Linked DNA regions of Drosophila melanogaster. The protein of the gene in region 1 purifies or fractionates together with the protein of each later gene. This does not show direct contact. Each region holds a gene or a part of one and is shown on either strand. Other genes may lie near its edges. The genes, in order: Mst77F and mil.

Evidence for each region.
Region 2: the proteins of Mst77F (region 1) and mil purify together in Drosophila melanogaster (affinity purification with western blotting; one study listed by BioGRID). This does not show direct contact.

The regions. Positions count from the first base shown.
Region 1 is NT_037436.4:20,816,103-20,820,027, reverse strand, and holds Mst77F (Male-specific transcript 77F), read left to right. Parts: upstream 1-2,000; 5' UTR 2,001-2,149; coding exon 2,150-2,431; intron 2,432-2,493; coding exon 2,494-2,859; 3' UTR 2,860-3,127; downstream 3,128-3,925. Other genes in the region: Pka-R1 (protein kinase, cAMP-dependent, regulatory subunit type 1), read right to left, coding at 559-993. UniProt on the Drosophila melanogaster protein: Not known. Encoded in the intron of cAMP-dependent protein kinase regulatory chain type I.
Region 2 is NT_033777.3:27,910,385-27,914,309, forward strand, and holds mil (milkah), read left to right. Parts: upstream 1-2,062; 5' UTR 2,063-2,183; coding exon 2,184-2,416; intron 2,417-2,481; coding exon 2,482-2,605; intron 2,606-2,669; coding exon 2,670-2,898; intron 2,899-2,957; coding exon 2,958-3,043; intron 3,044-3,097; coding exon 3,098-3,277; 3' UTR 3,278-3,401; downstream 3,402-3,925. Other genes in the region: CG5003 (uncharacterized protein), read right to left, coding at 3,654-3,925.

The DNA.
Region 1 (3,925 bases):
TCGAGTTTCAAGTGCAAACTCGACATTTTGTCGCAAAAAGCAGCTCGTGGGGCATTATGAAATGCACTTTCTTTAAATTAGTATATAGTTTAGGTTACTATATTCTACTGTATCCCAAAAATTAACCCCTTTCCATTTACCTTTTTGCAAAAAATAAATTTATAATGTTTAAATAAAATGTGAACATTTTCTTCCTGTTCGTTCTTTTTCTTCAGATACGAAAGATATTTTGAAAGAATTAAAAGGCCTTAACGTAAAACATAGCAAACTTTTTCATATTTTATTAAATTTTTATATTCTAAGTAGGGTATTAGGTGCTCGCGGAATAAGGTAAACATTTTTTTGCATGTTTTTATTTGTGTTAGAACTAACGACATCGTGATTTGTAGTCACAAATCGAATCAACAAGACACCAATTTCAAACGATTCAAAGCTTTCTAGTATGCGCACACTCCCACACTTTAAATCTTTTTTCCGCCAAAAGCTTTTCAGCACAAATTCCTAGTGATTTCCTACTGTTTTCCGGAAATTGGAAACTTTTCCGACTTTCCAACTTACTTCGCGTTCCCGCTGGCGCTCAAGCTCAAGTTCCTGTTCACGTTCGCGGGCCAGAGTGGAGAGATGAATCTGCAGGCTGCGATCGCTGACGGCATCCTCCTCGGGAATTGTGGTGCAGGAGGTGCGAACATGCCGCATGCGATGCACTGCATCCAAGCTCAGCCGATGTTCGTGATCATCGCGGAGCAGAGCATCGAACATGGCCACCCCGCCATCGATGCTACTTTCGCGCAGGATGCGTCCGCCGCGTCCACTGCAATGGGGACTCTGCTGCTGATTCTGCTGATGCTGATGATGATGGTGGGTGGTGGCCACCACGCCCTCCGAAAACGAACGGATGCGCATGGCGCCGTTGGCATCGGTGGTCAAAGCCACCGAGCGGAAGCGATCGATGACCGCATCCTGGATGCTGTTCACACTCAACTGGTTGCCCATGGCGCGCGGAGGCAAACAAATAAAAAGCAAACGAACGGAGTGAACTAGGTGGAAGCAGGATGCTTCTGCACGGCGTCAGGATGCTAATCCAACTGACAGCGGGTCCGGCATTCAACAGGCAACTTGCCCCAGAGAGTCCGGCGCACACACACAGGCGTACTCAAAATCAAAGTTGGGAGAAAAAGGGGTAAGGAAAGTCGCTTGGCAAGTGAGAGGGGGAACAGGACGATGTGGAAAGGACCTCCACAGGTGCGCTGCTCTATTTACATTGCAGCATTGCAAGCTTTTGCTGCAGCCTGTCTCACAAAATAAACTTTAAAGCTTCACAATGAACAGAGGGAATACAGTTCTCCGAAGCAGGAAGCCGAAAATAAAGCATCCGTGCTGGGAAATCCACCTATGGATGGGTTTTTTTTTTAACAATCCGCTCGAAAATAGACCGCAAGTTGTATTGATTTTCGTTTAAGCGGCAGCATTAACCAGCAAAATGCCGCTTGTTGCTTACCAAGTGGTTGAAACCCCGGAAAGGAACGTAGTCGCACAGGATAATTTAAACACCTTCCCTCACCAACGACATTTCTGGTATTTCTTACATATTTTGTTCAGATTATAATATAACATTTAGTATTGCTTTTGTAAAATATTTGTTCATTTCATTTCATTGAAAACAAGGAAGTACGCTATTCTATTTCGTGAATATCAGATACGCGTTACTCAGCTAGTCGGATTGCAAACAGAATATTAAAACCTTTTTCAAGACACACGGACGGACGAATATGGCCAGCTCGACTGATACTGATCAAGAAACATTAAACATTTTCTCCTACAATATCTTGAACGAATATAGTATACAAAAATAACCATGGAAATATGGCGCCGATCTGCGAAATGTACTTTGAAAACAGCCAACTTGGTTTGAAAAAAGGAACTTTTTCTTGATCATAGTAGAATTGAGCCTTCATTCAAATCCAATTTCCAGGTCTCCACGCTGAAGCCAGCATACAAACAGTTAGTACACTACCTTTGAACGAGGAACAACTAAAATATTTCGATAAAATTGAGTACAGTTTTTTATACATATATAATTTTTTTTTGTATAATTCTGAGTAACAAATTTGTTTGTGAAAATTTCTGTCGAGCAAGAATTGGTTGCAAAATGAGTAATCTGAAACAAAAGGATAGCAAGCCGGAGGTGGCAGTAACAAAATCAGTGAAAACCTATAAAAAATCAATTGAATATGTTAATTCCGACGCCTCCGACATTGAAGAAGATATCAATAGGGCAGAGGACGAATACGCCTCATCGTCTGGCTTTGTTAATTTTCTGAGGGACTTTAAGAAGCGCTACGGAGAATATTACTCGAATAACGAGATAAGACGGGCTGCTGAAACCCGATGGAACGAAATGTCATTCCGTCATCGATGCCAGTATTCTGCGGTAAGTTAGGTGTCGAATACAAACGAAATGCACATGTATGCAATCGTAATGCACTTCCGCAGGAACCATTGGACACTTTTCATGTAGAGCCCAACAGTGTGAGCAGTCTTCAGCGTTCTAGTGAGGGCGAGCACAGAATGCACTCTGAAATAAGTGGCTGCGCAGACACTTTCTTCGGTGCCGGTGGCTCCAATAGCTGCACTCCAAGAAAGGAGAACAAGTGTTCCAAGCCCAGGGTGCGGAAGAGTTGCCCCAAACCACGGGCGAAAACCTCGAAGCAACGTCGCAGTTGCGGCAAACCGAAGCCCAAGGGCGCCCGACCCCGGAAGGCATGTCCCCGCCCCAGGAAGAAGATGGAATGCGGCAAGGCGAAGGCAAAGCCAAGGTGTCTTAAGCCCAAGAGCTCCAAGCCCAAGTGCTCGATGTAATCGGAGGTTTCATCTTCCACACCCTTTCCTACACCACTTTTCGGCCATTTTTATTGATCAGGAACCAGTCAAAATTTCCCAAATGATGTAAACAACTTGCGTTGCTAGAATCTATGAACTTGAGGAACCTCCAGTGAACCAGGAAATTAAGAAATCGATCATACGGATCTGATAAACCAAGGACATAACACAGGAAGGCCCAAGCATTGATCCTCAAGGCAACGATAAGCGGTTGTACTGTTTAGAAATAAAGGTTTTATGTCTGATCAAATTTCTACCCATATTTTATCTACCAATATATATGGTATTATTTATAATTTTGGTTTTGGACTCACCCTCTCGAGTTTCTGAAAGTACTGTCGCAGGAACTGCACGGGATTCTCGGGTCTGCAGACGCACAGCTGGACGATGCAGTCCTTGAGGACTCGCTGGATCCCATGCGTCTGGATGTAGTGTTCGCACTCCCGCAGGCTCTGCTCCTCCAGCGTTTTGGCCATCATGTAGGACATGTGGTACGGTGGAGGTGGGATGGATTCCAGAGTGGGTTTGCAATGAATGGCAGTGATGATATGGTGATGGGGAAACAGCTTTCAAGCGCCGCACTACGCAAAATATACGTATGTAGGTATGGATGTATATATTATGTACACAATACGTTTGTGTGGGTGGTTATTGAATGTCGGTTATTGTTTCGCTGGCAAATCGGTTAAAAGCACTGATAATTTAAATCTAAGCCTGCTGCTTTATCAACCCGTTTGCTGTGCACCGCTTTCGCAGCTTTTCCTTGCGTTTTTGGCACCGTTTTGTTCCGTTTTCCACACACACAGCACAACCCCGTTTTCACTTGACAAAATTTACGTTTCCGGACCTCTTTGCAATGTCCTAATGATTAATGCCCTTAGCCCCGCACTCCCCCGCAGCATATGGATTGATCGATGGCTGTCGGAAAGTCAGTTAACTAAGTTATTTTCATAAAACTTAACCAATTTTCACGCACGTCAAACGTTGTTGTTTTTTTTGGGCTGCATGCAGTGGTGAGCGTCTGATATGGTCACGTTCATATCGA
Region 2 (3,925 bases), on another chromosome or scaffold:
TCTGGTTTATGCAAAACCAAAGGCAACACTGGCCCCTGTCCCTCGGTGCACCAGCCACTCGCGTATCCTAGATCCTGGGAGTTCTGGCCACCACCTAGTTCCATTTAAAATAAGCAAAGCAAACTAACAAAATTCGTTTATGAACGCCATGCTGCCTGCAGCTCAAGGAAAGTTCAACCAAGGTGCAAAATAATTTGTTGCAATCAGCTTAGCCTGGCCAGGATTCCGAGGATGCGATGCCCTTCGCCCGATGCCCGATGCCCGACCAACCAAAAATGGTTAGTGAGTGCCATGCCCTGCCATGGTTGCGTTTCTGGGGCCGGGCAAGTTTTCAATTTAAGTTGAATTATTATGACCTTAATTAACACGTCGTTTCATCATCAAATGCCGCACTACATCTTATGCTTTTGTTGCAGATATTTCGGCATGGCGCCGTTGCTTCAGTTTCAGGAGCAGGTGGAAACGTAGGAGTTCCAGGCTGCCAGGTTGCCTGGCTCGTGGATGAGGATGTTGAGCTCCTGATTCGATTTTCTGCAGACATGCACTTTTGCCAGGAAGGAGCTGAAGCAGGAGCTTTAATCCCTGCGCCAAGTAACTGTTGCTCCGGTTGGTCGGGCTGCGCCAAACCATTCCATTCTGCTGGGCTCTACTAATTTTGGTTTTAATTAAATTCAAACTATGTTGACGCTCCCGGCACTGACGACCTCCGACGAGCGGCAATCACGTGGGTGATGGCCATGGTCCCCATGTTCCTCCAAATGATCCTGATGATGCTGATGATGATGGGGCTGCTCCATTACTTATGTAGCTACATTTTATGCACCGCCTAATTGAATGACCGAAATGTAAATTGAAAATGCCCGAATAGCTTAAATGGTTGTGCACTTGAAGAGTCCTTGATTAGTTGATCTTGATTAGTTCCCAACTATCGATTTCCATCTCATTTGGATTAATACCTAACTATCTTGCATATTCCATTCCTGCTAATGATAATGACGTGAAATATATATACATACCAATTATTTTGCACAGTGCAGGCATACACTCGTACAAATGTGGAAATTGGCCAGCCAGAGCCGTCATCATCAGATGCCTGGCTGCCTTACACTATTTGCGTTATGATTTCTTTTTAATTTCCCAGCGGTATTTAGGGAAAAAATTTAATAATATCAAATATGAGAGCAGCGAGTGGTGGATGTCCTGTGGAGACTGGACAAGTGCATGTGCCGTGTGTCGTGTGTGTTTGTATTTGTGGGCAAACATTCAACAGCGCACAACAATGCGATCTCCCGCTTTTCCCGCTTATCCTCTGCGGCTTTCATTTGGCGGATGTGTGTGTGCGTTGTTGTGTGTGTGTGTGTGTGTCTGGACTTCCGCTTGGCTGAATTTGTTTACACTTTTTTTTCGCCCGCCGCCACTGGCCCACTCATAATTTCATTTTGAAATGTTTGCCTAAGCGACAATTTCACTCTTTTTTTTCACTTTTTTCTGTTGTTTTTCACAGCCGGACATATGGCACTAAGCCTGGCCCACATTATTAAAACCAGCGACAAAAGACAAGCGACTCTCGGATAGACCAGAAACTGGGTCCACGGTCCATTTAACAGACTCCAGGAGGCGATGGCGATGGCGATGGCGATGGCAATGGCTGAACCTGAACCCTTGGCGGCACAGCACTCAGCACGTGATTTGCATACACTTAGGCCAGGCTGGCGGCACCCAGTCCAAGCTTTTGGCCCACACTTAATTACATGCCAAATGAAAAGTTGGCGGAAGCAAACAAAAAATTTTGGGGAAACCAAAAATATATAAACAGGAAAAGAGCAGGAATTAAATGTGCGTTAAATTGCCAATAAACATGGCCTGCATCTCAATGGGCAAAGTAAGGCGAAAGGGGTGACTAAAACAGCAATAACACGAGGGTTTAAAAATGTAGCTTAAAAAAAAAGAATAATAAATTGCTTAATATTTTCTAGTACATCTAGTTAGTTCCAGCACTTTAGTGAAAAGCGGGCCTTGCCTTTTGTGCTGGGAGTTTTGGGAAACTGATAGAGCTACTTTTCATTCCCACAACGGCAGTCACAGCGAAAACGCACACGTCCAAATTTTATACTTGAACAAAACCAAATCACTTCAAGAAATATTTTTTTTATTTTTCTTTTGATTATCGTGTCGAAACATAAATGGAAACTGTGCGAAATCGAAACCCTCCGCGGATGAAGTACACCGCTCCACCGAAGATGGAATCGGATTTAAACTTCACCGAGAAGGAGAAGAAAACTCTTACCGAACTGAAGCAGCTCTATTTGGAGACCATTAACCTGGATGTGGCTCTGCAGCGCGACATTTACAATATCGAGAAGAAGTACGAGGATAAGCACAATATCATATTTGATAAGCGCAAGAAGATTCTAGAGTAAGTCCATTAATGGTGTTTGGTTAAACAAGATCTCAATTCCCCCAAAAATCCCATCGGTGCAGTGAGTTTAGAAAGCAAAACCACGGCGACGTGGAAACCAATCAGAGCGTGCCCAACTTTTGGCTGAGGGTTCTCAAAGCATCGTACACCGAGTTCATCAGCAAGAGGGATGAGAAAATATTAGAGGTATGTTATGGATAGATCCGATTTGAAGGATATTTAAATTTTAATTGAAATTTTTCCCGCGCAGTGCTTAAGCGACATCCGTTCTCGGCTGTACAACGAACCCGTGGTGAAGTTTGATATCGAATTCCACTTCGATCCCAATGATTACTTTACCAACACGGTGCTGACCAAGACATATTTCCTCAACTGCCTGCCGGATCCAGACGATCCGCTCGCATATGATGGCGCCGAGATCTACAAGTGCGAAGGCTGCGTCATCGACTGGAAGCAGACCAAGGACCAGACCAAAACCGGTAAGCCATCTGGGAGCATCAAATTTCACAGATGTTAGTTGAATTCACTCATTGACCAGAAAATCAAGAGCCGTCGTTCTTTGAGTTCTTCTCGCCGCCGCTTTTGCCAGAAGATACCCTTGACCCCAACTACTGTGACGTCAATGTAAGATTGAATATCAGCGATCTGCGATCCTTTCACATGCATCTCCTCCCACAGGCTATGCTGCAAAACGATTTTGAGGTGGGCTTCTATCTAAAGGAGCGCGTGATTCCCAAGGCGGTGATCTTCTTCACCGGCGAGATTGCCGATTGTCAGAGCTCCAGCGGATCGGAGACCGAGTCGGAAGATACCGAGGACGAGTCGGATGCCGAAGAGGAGGATGGCGTCGACAAGTAAACATTTTACACCGCTTATATACAGTTTACATACATTTTTAACTCGAGTCACCGAACTATTGGCCTGTCCTTACCCACTACATACCAACCAAATAAACATTTCATTATACATATTTACCAAAAGGATCTCGCGCGCTCTTTTTAATGCCTAGCTAAAGGAATTGAATTGTGGTTTTGATTTATACAGTGCGTTTAGCCTGGCGTGTATATATTACAAGGACTCGAATAGTCAAACGTAATACTAGATGGCTGAGCTACAGCACTCGCTTGTAGCCAGCGTTGTGGATCCATCGGCTTGGCCATGTCGTCTTTTTTCTTAAAAAAAAATAAAATAATCCAGCACGGCCCACTTCGACGGAATCTTTACAAACAATATTCTAAGGAGCCACCACCTCCTGTGGCGGTGGCGATTTCGGTGGCTGCTCGTCGTCGGCGCGCGGCGGTGGCTGCAGCATCACCACCACCGTGTCATCCTCTTCCTGTGTCTCCAGCTCCGGAAGTCTTTCAAACTCCTCCAAGTGATTGGCGACCACTTCGCATTTCGGTTTGGAGATCTTGAAGCGCCGAATTGCCGGAAGCGTAATGCTGGTGCCACTAACATCGATATACACCAGATTCGGAGAGCACTGCACCAGGTGCTCCAGGGTAT